Linked DNA regions of Struthio camelus. The protein of the gene in region 2 binds, or shares a complex with, the protein of the main gene of each other region. Links are inferred from orthologs where the notes say so. Each region holds a gene or a part of one and is shown on either strand. Other genes may lie near its edges.

Region 1 (7,999 bases), on a different chromosome or scaffold from region 2:
TAACACTACAAAACAGGAATTTTAATTTGTGCAAAATTACACGTCTTTTTAAAACTTTTAATATTTCTTTAGTCATCCACCCACTTAATTAACAGATTGTTGTACTATTGCTGTCTTGTGTCTCATCCAGATAGAATGAGCAACAGATGCATCTGACTATTCCCCTTAAGGATATTTTGCAATTAGCCTGTAGTTCTGGATGCTTTCTTTAAAACAGTGTTTTAAGTGCTGTAACTTGCGTCCTAAATAGACAACTTGTCTCTCTGTGCAGATGCAAAATAAATATTCCAGATTTGGTTCTCCATATACAATATGAAAGAATTATAAACTGAAACTAAACTGATCCTGAGGAGATATCTTTGACATTAAAAGAGACTACACTACACAAAGCACTACACACTTAAAACGTGAGAGCTCTCACCTTAATGGCTTTGTTAGAAATATTACTACATCATTTGAAAACAATGAATCATATCTCTTTACTTATAGATAGGTGTATTCAGCTCACCTCCCGACATGCTTTTAACTCTTGAAACTCTCTGGTTGTCCAGTGTCTGTCTTTGAAGAAGTTGGTGCTGTTTCTTTTGTAAAATAGATCCCAGTTCTTCTGTGCCTCTTTCTCCAATTTTAGTTGTTTGAAATCAGTCACCAAAACCTTATCTTTTGCCAGTCTCTCAGCTTCTTCGGGGCTAAGGATCCTTGCACTATGGCCTTTTTTTTGGAAAGCATCAGCTTCAGTAGATGTAATTATTAAATTTAAGCAATCGGCTGGTGGGTTTTCATGGAACATCCTAGAGTATTTCACAGAGATGTGAATACCAAAGCCCCAACAGTGATTTTTTTTTTAGCATATATATGTTTCCATCACTTAATTTTGGTAAATAACCAAGGATCTAAAAGCACAAAAGAGAAAGAGAGAGAGAGAGAGAGAGAGGGAGATAGTTAGTTTTTGTATGCACTTTCGGAGGTTTTATGGTGATCTGCCCTACATAACAGACCGCAAAACCACCAGACTTGCTTCTCTTATTTTCAGAAATCCTCCTTCAAAGCTAAGCACCAGGTAAGACACTACACTGATCTCAAAGAACACAGGGGACAAATTCTGCTGGTCTTCCACACGTATCATAGAAAACTACCCAACCAGAGAGAGATGATGCAGCTCTAAGTTTATTTGCACTAAAATCGACTAGAAAAGGAAAACACGGGCTTTGTAACTCTGGTTAGTAACACCTCAGAAAGCTCACAACTGAAAAGCAGGGGGCACACCTTTTAAGAGTCCCGTTTCAGTTGGCAAAGAAAACCATATTCACCTTAACATTTCTCCTGAGCTCGCACTCCTTCCACTGCCTCTTCCTGAGGATTCACAGCAGTTTGAACAATGACGGGTATGTTTTTTTCAGAAGTTAACAAAAATGAGGCAATAAAAACACCTTTATGGAGGCCAGGAAAGGATTCAAGTCATTTCCCTAACGTTAAACTAGCTCTGAGCTCTGCCTTGCCACAAACACCCAGACGGCGTACGTGAATTAAATCCCGCGTGACCCAGTAACTCCCCTGAAACCCCTGGCAGGCCAAAACGCGCCCATCCACGTCCATCAGTGCCCAGGACTGGGCATTCGTGCCGCTTCACAGAAACGGAAATGAGGAAAAACAACAACTTCTACCCTTCAGCAAAACAAAAAAGAACAACAACAACGAGCAGTACTTCATTCCGCTATTTTATCTTGGTTAGTACAAACGTAACAGTGCAAACACAACACACAAACGCGGGAACGGCGGGAAACGAGGAAGCGGGCCCGTTGTGCCCAGCTTCACAGGAGCCAGACCACACGCCGCTTGCCCGCAGGAAGGCTGGGAAAGGCCAACAGCGATGAGACTCCCTTGAAGAAGGAAAATCTACTAAAGACACAGGCTTTTCCTCAAAATATGTAATATTTTGATTTTTTCTTGAAGGTATATCCTCAAAGAAAGAAAGAAAAAAAACAAAAAGAGAAGTTTCAGCAGCAAAAAGGTTCTGCTGTGCGCCTGGCACGCATCAAATCAACGCGTGCGGGGTTTTTTGGGGTAAGACAAGCTAGAGAGGGGAGTGGGGGGGGGGGAAATGACCCGTTTAAATTGCCCCCTTTACGTCTGGAAAGACCCCTGTGTTAGACAGAAACCAAAGAGCTGACACGACGATAACGGTCGCCCGCCCCGCAACCCCCCCAGCAGCCGTTAGCAGCCGTTAGCACCGCGCAGCCCCCGCTCCCCCCCGCCCCACGCCGCGAGGGGCGGCCAGACCCCGCTGCGGGGGGGGGGGAGGGCGCCCCACACGGGGCCAGACCCCCTGCGTGCCCCCCCAACGGCGCCCACCTGCCCTCGGTGCCCTGTGGGGAGAGGGGACGGGACGGGACGAGACGGCTCGGCTCGGCCCCGGAGCACTTTCGCGGCTGCACTCAGGGCCCGGAAGGGCGCGGGGCGGCCGCGCACGCAGCGGGCGGAGGAGAGGAAGGGACGGGCGGCGCAGGACACGGCACGGCACGGCACGGCAGCGGGGCCATGAACGGCTCGGCGAACCCGCTACTGGACAAGGAGGAGCACCCGCTGCAGCTGGGCGAGAGCTTCGAGCGCCGGCCCAAGGCCTCCTTCCACACCATCCGCTGTGAGCGCCCCCGCCCCTTCCCGCCCGGGGTGGTGGTTGGGGGGGGACATATACATACACACACACACACGTTACCTGCCCGGCAGCTCGCCCTCCGCCGCGATACCTTCCTCCCCGGGCCCCGCCGTCCCTTCTAGCTCCTGCCGCCCTTCGCTGCCTTCCCCGAAATGGCGGGGGGGGGGGGGTGGCCAGCGCCTCCCCGACATGGCGGGGGGTGCCCGGCCCTGCCTCGGAGCCGCCCCCCCCCGCAACCCCGCTCCCGAGGCCGCCGCCTCGGCCCTGCCTCCCCGCGGGGGGGACGAGGCTCCCCTACCCCCCGTGGGGCTTGCCCCCGGCCGGCTGCCACCCCTCATGCCGCGCCGGCTTCCGACATCGTCCCTCCTCAGCGCCCGTCTCTCCCTCCTTCCCGCCCCTACTGCCCTCCTCAGCCCTCCTTCCCCCCCTCCCCAGTCCTTACCTCAGCGCCTATTCCCGCCCCTGCTGCCCCTTCAGAGTCCATCGTTCCCCCTAGAGCCCATTCCTTCCCCCTCAGCGACCTATATCCTCTCTTCCCTGCCCCCCCCCCCCAACTAGCCCCCGTGTCCCCCCCAGGGCCCGTTTTCGCCCTCTGGCTCTGTGGCTGCAGCCCGAGCAGCGAGGGGGCAGGGGGAGGGCAACGGAGAGCCGGCCAGGGCTGCGCTGGAAGCGTTTACAAACAGACGTGCTGGGAGAGCGGGTCTCCTCGCGCGGCCCCCTCTAGTAGAGCAAAAGTGTGAACGAGGCAGACTGCAGAAGACAAAGGGGCTCTGGAGTTGTTCGTGAAGTGCACGTGAATCGTTTAAGAGCATAAAGCCTCCTCCTCCTCAAAGGGAAGGCTTTCCATTTTCTTATGGGCCTGGTGTTACAGGTCACCACAGGCCCTGGTCTGGCTTCTTCTGGGTGGGCAGGAGTGTCGGGAAAGGAGTACAGCTTGTCTGCAGCCGATTCAATTTAACTGATTGTTGCCGTAATGAGGCACCATGTAACCCAGCAACTTTTTCCCCGGCTCTGTTGACTCTCAAGGTCTATTGTAAGTCACTTTCCAGGAAGGCAAGCAGAAATGATTCCAACGCATGCAGTATTGCCTAACAAGTGGTAATAAGCATAAGATAAATGCTGAGGCAAGGTCTCGAGCAGTAATTTTGCTTTGGAGGAGCTGGAAAAATGTATTTTTCTAAGACACCAAACGTCTTTTTCAACTGCTGTTTTCTAGCGTGGAATACATTTTATATCATATTAGAGGATCTCCTCCTGGAAGAGGAGATCACCTGTATCTCTGTATTTGAATGCTGTAGACAAGAAATTGCTTTTTCATTTTCATTACTTTTTCTAAACATTTAAAATTAGTAGTTAATCAGCAACAGGAGACGAGAATTATAGTGAAACTGTATTTTAGTATCTTTGTATTAGTGTGGAGAATTTATACTATTAACAGCAGGATTTTTTGTTGTATGATGTATACTCCTAGGCCTGGTTTCATAGCCTGCTTTCATACACTATGAGTAAATAATTTCAGTGAGATTAGTCACCTGAGTGAGGCTTGAAAGAACAATTTTCTAGACTGAGCTATTATCCAAGCAGAGGATCAGTGTTTACAGAGAAGCTGTTTCCCTAGATAGTAAACTCTCTCCCGCAGATTAACACTTAAGTTTTGTGTGGTTCACCCCTCTATTACACTTACATAACCCCATGATGCTAAAGAAGGCCGTAGCATGTGTGTGATATATTTTACTGTTTATTCATAATACCATTAGTTTTATTCAGCACTGGCACAGTAGTAAATCTTCACTTATAAATCAAAGTTTTAAAATAGCCCAACCATCAAACAAATGAGGTTGCTGTCTGATAGCATATGAATTAAACCTAGGTCATGTCCAGATAATACTTTGGATTTCTAGGACTGAAGGGTCTTCAGTAATCAATTTCTTAAGGGACTGCAAAGCCAGAACACTTCAGACTACAACCGGAAAAATCCAGTTTTATTTTCAAAGAGCTTTCTGTGTGCTGTATTTGTAGTCAGTGACTTTCAAGTGAGATCTCTTTCGCTTTGCTGATTATAACTTTTTCTTCTAACTCTTGATTTTAAATGATTAGTCTAGGATCTGAGCATCATAGTGTTCCCCTAATCCTCTTCATACAAACTACAGTAAGAGGATTTTGCAGGCTAAATTTGTCTCTTGCTCCTTAAAATACCTCATCTTTTTCTGCAATGTTTATGAAATTCCGAACTGAAAAACTGGATTATCCATGGAAAACACATCTAAAGAAACTTGACTTTTGGAAAAAGGACTGCAGCTACGTTTAGGTGGACATGTTTGCCCTCCGTCTACAGGAAAATTAGCCAAGTAGATACAAAAAGAAAACAATTTATTGTTTGAGTGTTTGCTTGGAATAACTCTATATTTTGTTAATATCCAAGAAAGAAGCACGTTAGTGATATTTTGCTTTTCATTTAGTGACTGCGCTGTTGAAAGTTGTGATCCCTTTTTGGCAAAGACCCTAGCCTTTCTACAGCGAGCTTATGTTCTATTTAGCAAACTTGCACATGAAGTAGATGGGAAACAATAGCTAGAAATAGATTGGTCAGATGAAAACCAAGGATATGATTTGGTCTGGCAGTTAAGGCATGAGGATTAAGTCAAGTGTGCCTGATTTTGCTTGTTGTGCTGTCAAAGTAAAACTCAATTAGACATTAATGTCCTCCTAATGAGAATTTGCTACAAAGCTGTTTTTTTCCTGCAAACGTGCTTTTCCTAGTGGAATTACATTTTAAATTTGTTCTGAGATGTTAGTGTCTTAACTAATGCAATAATTAAAAGTCTTGGTTGTGAATGTAATTGCACCTCTTTGTATTCTGAGATGCTAGGATTTAATGGATGCTTGTTTTAAAAAAAAAAATCCTATATCCATATCTATCTGATATTATTTCGCTTTGTCTAAATTCTCTGTCAAAATGTTATGTGTTCTGGTCATTTGTTCTGGTTTTTATGGCTCATCGCAGCTGAGTAATTGAGGGGAAAATACTTTGAAGTTAAAATGTTCTTAGTTCAACTAAATACAGTAAACAAAAGTGTATTGCTTGAGGGACAGAGTGTTCTGTACAAGGCACCAAAAACACTAGGGGCAGCTTATAGCTATCCCAGTGTCTTGCCTTAGTTGTGCTCTCTATTCACAGTGTTTTTGTCCTAGCATGAAGCGTGGTGAAATAAGACCAGCACCTCTGTTTTCCCCCTCACAGGTGGGGTTTAAGAGCTGCTCTGCGCTTGAGGTGGAGGTGCGGAGGCAAAAAGGCTGTTATCAAAGGCTGTCAGAAATATCAGTGAGGCTAACTGGGATGGCCTCGCTAAGTTATTCTTTGTCACGAACAGAAGTATCCTCTGGGTTGGAAGTGGCAAGACCCATACAGGGCACTGGGGCTTGCCGTTAATACTCTTTTGAGATGCATGGAACAGTTTTACAAAATCTGCAAAATCAAGTGTCGCTGTACTGACGTCGTTGGGAGAAGCCTGCTTTTGGTCTTGCACACACAAAGGTCTAGAAAGTTACTTCCATTTTAAAAAGTAAATTTAGAATCTGATATTGTCATGTGACTGGAGCTCTGAGCATAGGCACATTGTGCTGGTATGTTATTCTACCCCTGCTGTAAGCGCTAACGTGTATTTTAATGTTCCCTATATCACAGTAAACGTGCAGTGACTTTTTACAGGGGAGGATGAATTATGAAGGCTCTAAGAAACAGTTTCACATGAATAGAATCCAAATTATTTTCCTCTTTAGATGATTTTAAACCAGCATCGATCGATACGTCTTGTGAAGGGGAGCTCCAAGTTGGTAAAGGAGATGAAGTAACAATCACCTTACCACATATTCCAGTAAGTATGTTGTATGTTATAGTGTATGTTTCCCTGTTTGCTCTCTAACAAATTTACAAGTAGTTGCTGTGTAGGTGCAATCTACTGTAAATGTAATTTTCACTTTCCTCTTTGTTAAAACAAATGGGTTCAATATTCAAGCTGCCAGAACTGTAATGTGTTACCTTAGGAAAGGCCAGCCGAGCCTTTATAAAGGCTTATACCTGGGAGGTTCCAATCTTTTCTTTGCATTTGATTCCTTCCTTTCCCCTGTTCTTTGACAAACAAGAAGACTTTACTATTAGCCCAAAGTCTGTACCTAGTTTTCATTCGTTTTTAGTGCTGTGTCTTAAGGAGGAAAGGCAGAGTAGTTTTGAGTTGAGTCAAGATTTGGTGTTCAGAAGCCACAGGTAGGCCTTTAAGTCTGTGCTTTCCGTTACTAAAGTGTGTACAAATGGTATAGATTGTTCCTTGCCCTGGGGTTTATCAGTGGAAGCTGGAAAGAGTTTTGTAGCTAGTGGCAGTGAAGCGTCTGTCCACTTCCTCCTCAAATTATGCTGTAAAGGTCTACTGTGCAAAGATGATGGTCAAACAGCAATAAAGAAGTGATCAAACTGTCCATAGCTGCAGCTGTTTTGTAATTGAAGGATCAGTGATTTCCTTACCAAAACAAAAGAAAGTGATTGCATTCTGGAACTGGATTTGTTTATTAGCAGAAGCTAGTGCTGTGTGTCAAGCCTGTGAACCCAGGATTCAGACATAGATAGGTTTGGTGTTTGTGGAGGAGGCAACAGTCAGTTTAGAAGCCATGCGTCAGATCCTTTTGGTATTGTTTATTCTACTGTGCTGGTATTTTTAATTGCTAGATGATGTGACAATTCTCAGCAAATTAGGGTTTAGCTGCCCCCCTCACCTTTTTTATATGGTATTGGTCACCTTTAGTGCTTCAGAATGTTGCAGAGTTGCTTTTTGTCTATAAAAATGGTGAATATAACAGTGTTAAATGTGACAGAAAATAATATGATTAATAGCAATGGCATTCATCTTTGACTGGCAACTGTGTTGTTTCTTAATCTTTTGTGTTGAATGCAATTGCTTGTAATGTCCCTTTCCAAATCTCTGTGCTGATGGGTTTAATTTGATTGTCTTCCCATGGGTATGAACAGCTTTCAGCTTCTAGAATGCTCTGGCAGGTTACGCAGCTAACTGCACAAAATGCAGCCACTGTATGCATGTTTTTCCAAGGCAGTGTTGCCTAAGTTCAGTAGAGTTAGCTGGAAAACACTCTAAGTGTACTGAAAAAGAATGAGAAGTTTTGAGATCGTTTCATCCTTACAAGGTTTACTGAATTTCTTGCATCCTGCTTTGCTTTTCAGTTGCCCAAAAACTGGGTAGGATTCAGATTCCAACTTGTTTTTTGAAATTGCCTGATGCCTGAGGGTATCTCTGATGATTTGTTCGGTGGAGTTTCCTGGTGTCCATTGCTGCT
Region 2 (7,544 bases):
AGTAGTGAATGAATTGGCCACCAAAATCAAAATGCCTTCTTCATTCCCCAGGGCTGACTCTTCAAATCCAGTACTGTGATCACACTTGTCTGCCGACACTGTGTTTGCCTGGTAGCGACTCTCCTATTCAATATGCCGACATCAAGTAGATTTTGGCCGTAGGTAGGAAATAGAAGTCAGGGGGCAGGGTCTAGTAAGAGTAAGAAGATTTTGAGCTGTGTCTCAGAAATTATTTCCTGGCCAGCAATTATGGTGGAGCTGCAAGCATTATCTTGCTAATACGTCTCTGGAGGCAGCAGACACAGCCGAGGAGATGCGCGCTGAGTCCAAAATGGAGGCAGGAAACTGATGGCTTCATTTTGACAGTCATCATGAGAAATCCCGAGTCACTGAGCCTGTCGCGTTTGATCCCTGTTCCCAAAGCATGGTGAAAACATGCCTTCCCTTCTGCTTACCAGAATGCCAGTGTAGCACAGAAATGGTTCCAGCAGATTGTTAATCTTTTCTAGGGCTGCTGCCTTCTCTATCTTTCTTCAGATCTTTAGAAAACTAGGATGAGGTTAGGAAAGGCTTTGGAAAGATCCAGATCCAGATCCTTTGTTCTTCCAGCTCCAGAGTTAGGAAGGAAAAGGCTGATTTACAGAAAATGTTTTTGAACATTTCTTGTTATATGAGCTGTAGAAGTAGAAGAAGAATAGACTGTATGCTGGCGTTCAAATAAGTTATCAACAGAAAAATTCTCTCTACTCCATGCATTTTTATTACTCCTACCTCTGGCATGGAACTGTCCGAAAATAGAACCCGTTGTACATCATAGACCCTTTGCTCTGGTCCAGAGCCCTAAAAAGAAAAGTTTGTTATTTCAACGGATGGATTTTATACTTAAGCTTTCTTTTTTCTGATTGACTTATGTCAAGTCGGAGGTAGTGAGTGCTAAAAGCCTGCTTTTCATCTCTAATGTGACTGCTGCATTGGAAAGCTTGAATTATCTCTGCATAATTGCAATGATTCATGGTTTGTTAGAAAATTGGAAAGTATCGATTGGATTTCCCCCTTAGGAAATATTTCTCCTGTGATAGAGTAGGATGGGTTGTGGGGCTTTGCTTTTGTTCTTCCTGCCTTCTGACAGGGGAAGCTGGTGACTCCTTTCACCTGGGAAACAGGAATTTGGGTCAGCAGCCATTCAAGGGCAATCTGAATTATTGTGACTCCTACCCCAAATCATTCCCTGAGCTGCCAATTTCATGGGCTTTGCAAAGCGTGGATGGAGAATACAGAGTCAGAAGATCTGGGACCAGCAGCTCTACTGCTGAACTACTGCCCCTGCCTTATTTCAATTTCTTCTGTTTCCATGTCAAATCCAACCAGTGCTTTCTGCAAAGAGACCCTGACCTTGTTGTGGGAAAGCTAGAACCGCCAAAGATGGGGGCAAAACTCCTCTTACTTTTTTTAGGTGAGGATTCCTCTTAGGGTCGCAAGAGTAGGTGGCAGGAGCAAAGTGGGAGAATGAAGCGAGGGTGCGTGGGGGGAGCCGGACACACAGCGCCTGAGGCAGAGCAGGTCTGCGCTGACAGCCCTAACGCACACACCTGCACATTAAATGTGCTGCTGTGGCAAAATCTGGGGCCTTTTTGGCCACTGGTGTATAATTTCCAGAAAAGTACCATAAATACACAGTTATGAGTGTGTCCTCTGCTTCTTTTCTTTGCTAAATTGAACATCCAAGGTCCAGCTGAGTATCAGTCCTTGTCTCTGCTCCAGTTGCTTGCAACATGCTGCCACCACAAATGGTCTTTTCTAAGCACAACGTGAAGAATTAACAGCCAGTGAAAATTCAGGGTTTGCAATGAACTTAGCGTTCCCACAAGTACAGCACTAACGGCAATTAACGAAGCAGAAATTCCAGCGCTGAACGACTTTCTTCACATTAGAAGCTGCCAGTCCCAGAGCACATAGTCCTCTGCTATTTCAGGCCTGACCTCTGCTTCTTGGCCACATTTCATACGAGCAGGAGGTGTCCCAGGCCATCCCGTAACGCAGCAGCACACTCTAGGAGGGGACACAAAGAAGGAGCAGAACAGCCAAAACAGTCTTTGCTAACAGTGGCATTTCCTGAGGATTTGTACATTCTCACCTGGGCTTTTCATGATCAGGAACAGAATTAACCCAGCACTGACCAGACTATAAGGCTTTTTAATTTCTAGAGCTCCCTGCTAGTCCAATGCTATCCTCATTTACTGCTATCAGTTTACTCCTGTTCAGACACGCAGTTCTTTCTGCTATTTCAGTTTTGCCTGTCTACACCATGAAGAACCTGAATACAAATGAGCAAAAGCATTTAAATGGCTCAGCTAGAAATAACCCCTGTGACTACTCACGTACATGGCAATCTGCTGAAATTTCATATTGCAACACATGATTGGCAATGCCTTGTTTAATTTTGCCAAGTTGTAACTGTACAGCAATGTAGGGGCCGTCACTTTTAGCTCCGCCGGAAGAGCCATTCTCCTTACTTTGTGCCAGTTCCAGACTAGGAACATCTGCAACTTGGTGCAAGAGGAAGTGACTCTTACACATATGAAAAATGCAAATAAAGGGTGTTTCCAGGTTCTCAGCTGACAAACAAAATCCAAAGCACCAAAACGAAACAACTCTTACAGACAGCCAACTAAAAATACTTCAACTGGGCTATTTTAATTTTTTTTTTTAAGTAATAGCATCTTTGAAGGGTGAAACTAGGCCTGGGAAACGTCAGGTTAAAATTAACAGTTTTTTAATGACAAAGTTCAATGGCAGCCTGAAAATAGGATGTGAGATGGAAACTACAGAGCTATAAATACACCACAGCCTCTACACACATCAGAAGCCATTATTAATTTTAAATCCCGTCTTGCTGCATCGAGATAACTTCAGAGAACAGAGCGGCAGGAGCGGCCTAGCATTTTCAGATGCATTTTGAGCGTCCGGGGTTCATCTGGAGAGAAAAAGGGTCAACGCAGAGACCGCACATACTCCCGCAGACCTCGTGGCTGCGCTGCTACCCGCGTGCTGCCTGCTGCTGCGGGGTTTGGTCTTGCAACGCCCGTAGACACCGTTATCCCCGCCTCGCCTGCAGAGCCGGACCGCGGAGCCGCGGAGCCCTCAACACTAAGCGGGTTTCGTGCACGAATGGCGGCGAGAAGCCGGACGTCGCCACGCGCCCCAGGAAGGAAGCCAACGGCGGCCCTGGGCTCCCGCTCCACTTCCGCGCCCCTGGGCGGCCGGACTCTTACCGGGCGACTCGGGCTTCGGCTTCACACCGGGCGTCTTTGTTATCGGCGTTCCTCGCCCAGCAGCTCCCGCCTGGCTGAAGCCGCCGGAAACGTTTTCGAAGCGCAAGGCGCGCGCCACGGTTCGCTCTCGTTGCAGCCGACAGTCGGTGCCGGGCCGGGTCGCGGCGGGCGCCCCAGGGTTGACGCCCAGCGGGCGGCAACGGTAACGCCGCCACTGGTTGTAGCGATGGCTAACTCACAGCTCCTGCTGACGGCAAGCCGGTGGGAAAAGAATGAGTTTTCAGGGTTTCGGTTTAATCGTCTGGACATGAGGGCTATTTTTATCTTTCGCTATTTAGGCCTCCGGCGCGCGCCGCGGGAGCCAACGGGCAGGACCAGGCGAGGCCTTGGCCAGCGGACCCGGAGGACGACCAAAACGCGGCCGGTCGGTCTCTGAGCCGGCCTCTCCGCTCGTTTCCAGAAGAAACCCAGCTTTCAGCAGCTCCTGCGGCGCGGCGGCCCCGTTTCCCGCCTCGGGGCGGCCTCGCAGCCTCCCGCAGGCCCCGACGCCATTTTTGCTTCTCCCTCACGGCCCCGGCGCCATTTTTGTCTCTCTCTCACGGCGGGAGCGTGGCAAACCTGAGCCGCTTGGAGGCGAATACCTCCGCCCCGGGCTGGGATGCACCTCGTTAACTCAGAGTTCATTGACGTGTCGTTACGTGCCCCCAGATTGCGGGGCTGCTGACCGCTCTGTGAGCCGTGGTGGGTTTACCTCCGATCCGCCTTGGTCTCGGCACAGTTGGAGACAGCTCTGGGGTTTTCTCCCTCAGAAAATTAGCCCCCACGGTACCGTCCTTGGCCCGTGGGGACAGGGCGATGGTAGCCACTCCCCAGCGGGGGAAAGGACTAGCGGGCTAAAATCAGGAGAAAGTGTGAGGTGTAATCGTTAGATACGGCCCTGTGTCTGTGGAGCAGCACAGAGTGGAGGGGAGGAAGGCGTGCGCCTGGCCACTGCTCAGGCAGAGGACGAACAAAACCGACGGGGGCGGGGGGGTGGGAAAACAGAAGAAAAAAAAGAAAATTTCAGGTTCCACCGAGATTTGAACTCGGATCGCTGGATTCAGAGTCCAGAGTGCTAACCATTACACCATGGAACCGCTGTGGTCATCACCCGCCCCGCCCGCCTCTAATGCTTCCTCCGCCCGCTCCGCGGCGGGGCGGGGCCTGCGGGGCCGGTAGGCGGGGAGGGGCTCTGAGGGGCGGCGCCGGGCGGCACCGCACTTCCCGCCCCGCCTTGGCGACGGCGCCGCACCTTTAAGGGGGGGGGGGGGCACTGTCGCCTGTCTCCGGAAGTGACGTGTACCGCCGCGGCGCTGCCCCGGAAGCATCTCTCTGTGGGCGGGCGAGCGGAGCGCGGAGGGCGGAAGCGCTGCGGCGGCTGCAGGGAGGGGTCCGGCTCCGGCTCCCGCTCCCGTTGCCCGTCCCGGTCCTCGGCCTCCCGCCGCGCCTCGGTGCACCGCACCATGGGCACCCGCGACGACGAGTACGACTATCTCTTCAAAGGTAACGGCCTGCGGCGGCCGGTCGCCATGGCAACCGGAGGGGTCACCTTCCCCGAGGAGGGGGAGGTCTGGGCCTGGCGGGGGGCAGCGGCCTCCTCACGGGACCGGCCCTTTTCGGCGGGGGGGGGGAGCGGGTTTGGGGGGGCTCCATCGCCACTCCTTCGGCGGCCCCCGCCCCCTCGGGCCTTTTTCCCCGGAGCCCTTGGCGGAGGGGGGGGTCGTTGCCCGGCTGCCGCCTGGCGGGGCCGGTCCCGGGCGGTGTCGGCTGCGGGCTGGGGGTGGGGGTCGGGGCTGCCCCGGGGCCGGCCCTGGGGGGATCATGGGAAGGGGGCCGCCCTCCCCCGGGGCGCTGCCCGGCCGGGGGCGCTGCCCGCGGGGAGTCCCCGACCCTGGCTCGGAGGTTTCTGGAGCTTCATCGCTCGGGCGGCGTTGGGAGCCGCTGCCCGCTCCGGAGCGCTGCCTGCCGGCTTTGGTTGTTCTCCCCGCAAATAATGGTAAGTTTGGGCTGGTTTCCATTTCAGTGATCTGGCGTGCTGTCTGTGTCTTGTTTAAGGCTTCTGCTCTGTCAGTGGGCTGAGGTGGCAGCCAGCCTTTAGGAACAAAGATCCTAAGTGAGAATGCCCAAGATGGATAAGAATTACTTCCTTTTACAGCTTTTAAATGGAACTGTGAAGAAAATAAATTGTTCTTACGTTTAACGTTAGTAGAAAATGTAGCTAACTAATAAAATAGTATTATTTGTCTTCTGTGTTTTCAGTCCTTCCTTAGTTAACTCCTATTTCACAGCCAGTGGTCTTCCTTCTTGGCACCTCATATGGCACCCAGCAGAGTAGAGCAGGAACACCTTATTTTCCAGGACTGGTGCACCTTCAGTCTGCTGTACATCAGTGAGTTAGGTTAAAGATGTTTGATTGCCTTAAGTATTCCCTTTTCACTCCCTGCAGTCCAAAAAGCCAGTCTGCTGTGAAGGTTCGTAAAGCATGCAGTGAAACCCAAACTGAAATGCTGATGTTCTGAAGTTGCTTGCTTCTATGATAGCGTTTTAAAATTGGATATTTGGAATATTTTTAAAATAGCTGTTTACTGTGATACTGTACTGGACATCTGAGTTTAGGATTTATAATACTCCTTGGTACATTCTCATGGTGAGAGATGCGATTACTGGCATCGTGAAACTTGGTTGCCTAAATGAAAGAAGCAGTGTTACTTTCTGTGCTCTTAATTTCCTGTAACAACTTTGAGGAATTTAATTTTTTCTGTCTCTTTTGCCCAATTTCCATGTGGAAAATGACATTATTTCTGAGTATAAATCAGTCGTATGTACAGCAATTAAAATCAGGTCAGTTCCAAAAAGTGCCCCTCATATTCGCTTGCAGCATATGCAAAGGCCTCTCTGGCCACTAATTTAATCACAGTGAACAGTCTTATTTTAGGTACTTATATCTACAAGTTATCCAAACCATCACTTTACTTATTTATAAGTTCTGTCAGTGATATGCTTGTGATTAATGTTGAAGCTATGAAGGTGTGAGAATATAAGTGAAGTGGGGTTTGTAGGGAGACTTGCCATCTTTTAATGAAACTTCTTGTATAATGGGGAAATATTTCATGAAGCTGGGATCCAGTTGTATAGAAATGTTCAAAGCTAGTTTAGTTAACTGTCCCATCCCAAAGCTTTTTGTGTTAAGGTTATTTTATAGATGGGATTGAGAGTATAGGTGATGCTATGAAAATAGTGCTGTGAAGTGCTGATTCAGGTTTGTCAAAGCCAAAGGCGACTGCAGGAGGTTCATGCAACATCACATGAACTGAGATAAATATTTAGCTGTCGGTAGCTGAAATAACATGACAACAAATGCAGAGTGATACAAACTGGGGGAACAGTTGTAAATACGTAAATGTGTTGGTGATAGCAAACAAGCTATCACCTCTCTGGAAAGATCTTGGAATTGTTGTGAGTAGTTCTCTGAACCTAATGGCTCGTTACTAGGCACTGGTCAAAAATGCAAGTAGTAGGTAAAAAAAAAAAAAAAAATTACTGAAGATGACCTGAGAACTTAATGGGAGAATTATGCCAGTATTTGAATCTGAGACATGAACTTCTTGGATTGAAAGGAAATGCAGGAAGGACTGTCATACCCCTTTCAAAGGGGTTGTTACAGAATTAAAAAGATGGAGAAGAGCATCAAAATAATCAGGAGAGAGACCTAAAAGATTCATATTCCTCATCTTGAAGTGAAGTGCAACTTTATTAGAATTAAACTGAGTGATACAGACAAATAGGGAATAATCTCCCTGAAGACATATGCAAATTTTGGAGCAGTTTATTGTCATAAACGAAAGGTATAAATGGGTTTGAAAGGTTTTACAGATCCATAGGGGAAGAAAAATCTGGGGCACTCTTATTGTGATGATTAGAACAGAAAGCCTGAAGGTACTGCTTGTTTGAAGATGTGAGGGCCTGCTAGGACAAAGATTAGTTTGTTTGTTCTCTTATTCATAGTGTTTCTCAGGCATCCACTCTGGGCTGCTATCAGACTGGGTGTTGGTCTATAAGGACGCTTAATCCAGGAGGACTGTTCTTTTGGGCTTACCAACTTTAAGGCTTGTGGTAGTTGGGGGTTGAGTTCATAGTTTGGCTTGCTTTAAAATAATAGGGTAATATTCTGTAATCTGGCTGTCTCTCACTGCTCTTGAATTAAACTGCCACTAGTCTGTTTATATGATACCT

Evidence for each region. The genes of interacting proteins can lie anywhere in the genome.
Region 1: the proteins of RAB11A (region 2) and SH3BP5 are in contact, whole or in part, in a crystal structure (PDB 6IXV), measured with the Homo sapiens proteins. The link is inferred for Struthio camelus from reciprocal best matches to the Homo sapiens genes RAB11A and SH3BP5. Residues at the interface, in NP_004654.1 of Homo sapiens: Tyr8, Asp9, Tyr10, Leu11, Lys13, Glu35, Phe36, Asn37, Leu38, Glu39, Ser40, Ser42, Thr43, Ile44, Phe48, Lys58, Gln63, Trp65, Tyr73, Ile76, Ala79, Arg82, Gly83; in NP_004835.2 of Homo sapiens: Asp42, Ile45, Gln46, Leu49, Glu50, Asn53, Thr56, Ile59, Asn60, Glu63, Thr64, Glu67, Lys240, Tyr243, Leu247, Leu250, Glu251, Ile253, Ser254, Asp255, Ile257, His258, Arg261.

The regions. Positions count from the first base shown.
Region 1 is NC_090943.1:48,869,715-48,877,713, reverse strand, and holds the start of SH3BP5 (SH3 domain-binding protein 5), read right to left. Parts: upstream 3,083-7,999; 5' UTR 2,717-3,082; intron 2,642-2,716; coding exon of another isoform or gene 2,539-2,641; exon of another isoform or gene 2,353-2,538; intron 894-2,352; 5' UTR 791-893; coding exon 509-790; intron 1-508. Other genes in the region: EAF1 (ELL-associated factor 1), read left to right, coding at 2,539-2,641, 6,437-6,531. UniProt on the Homo sapiens protein: Functions as a guanine nucleotide exchange factor (GEF) with specificity for RAB11A and RAB25. Inhibits the auto- and transphosphorylation activity of BTK. Plays a negative regulatory role in BTK-related cytoplasmic signaling in B-cells.
Region 2 is NC_090953.1:3,552,758-3,560,301, reverse strand, and holds the start of RAB11A (ras-related protein Rab-11A), read left to right. Parts: upstream 1-4,495; 5' UTR 4,496-4,774; coding exon 4,775-4,814; intron 4,815-7,544. UniProt on the Homo sapiens protein: The small GTPases Rab are key regulators of intracellular membrane trafficking, from the formation of transport vesicles to their fusion with membranes.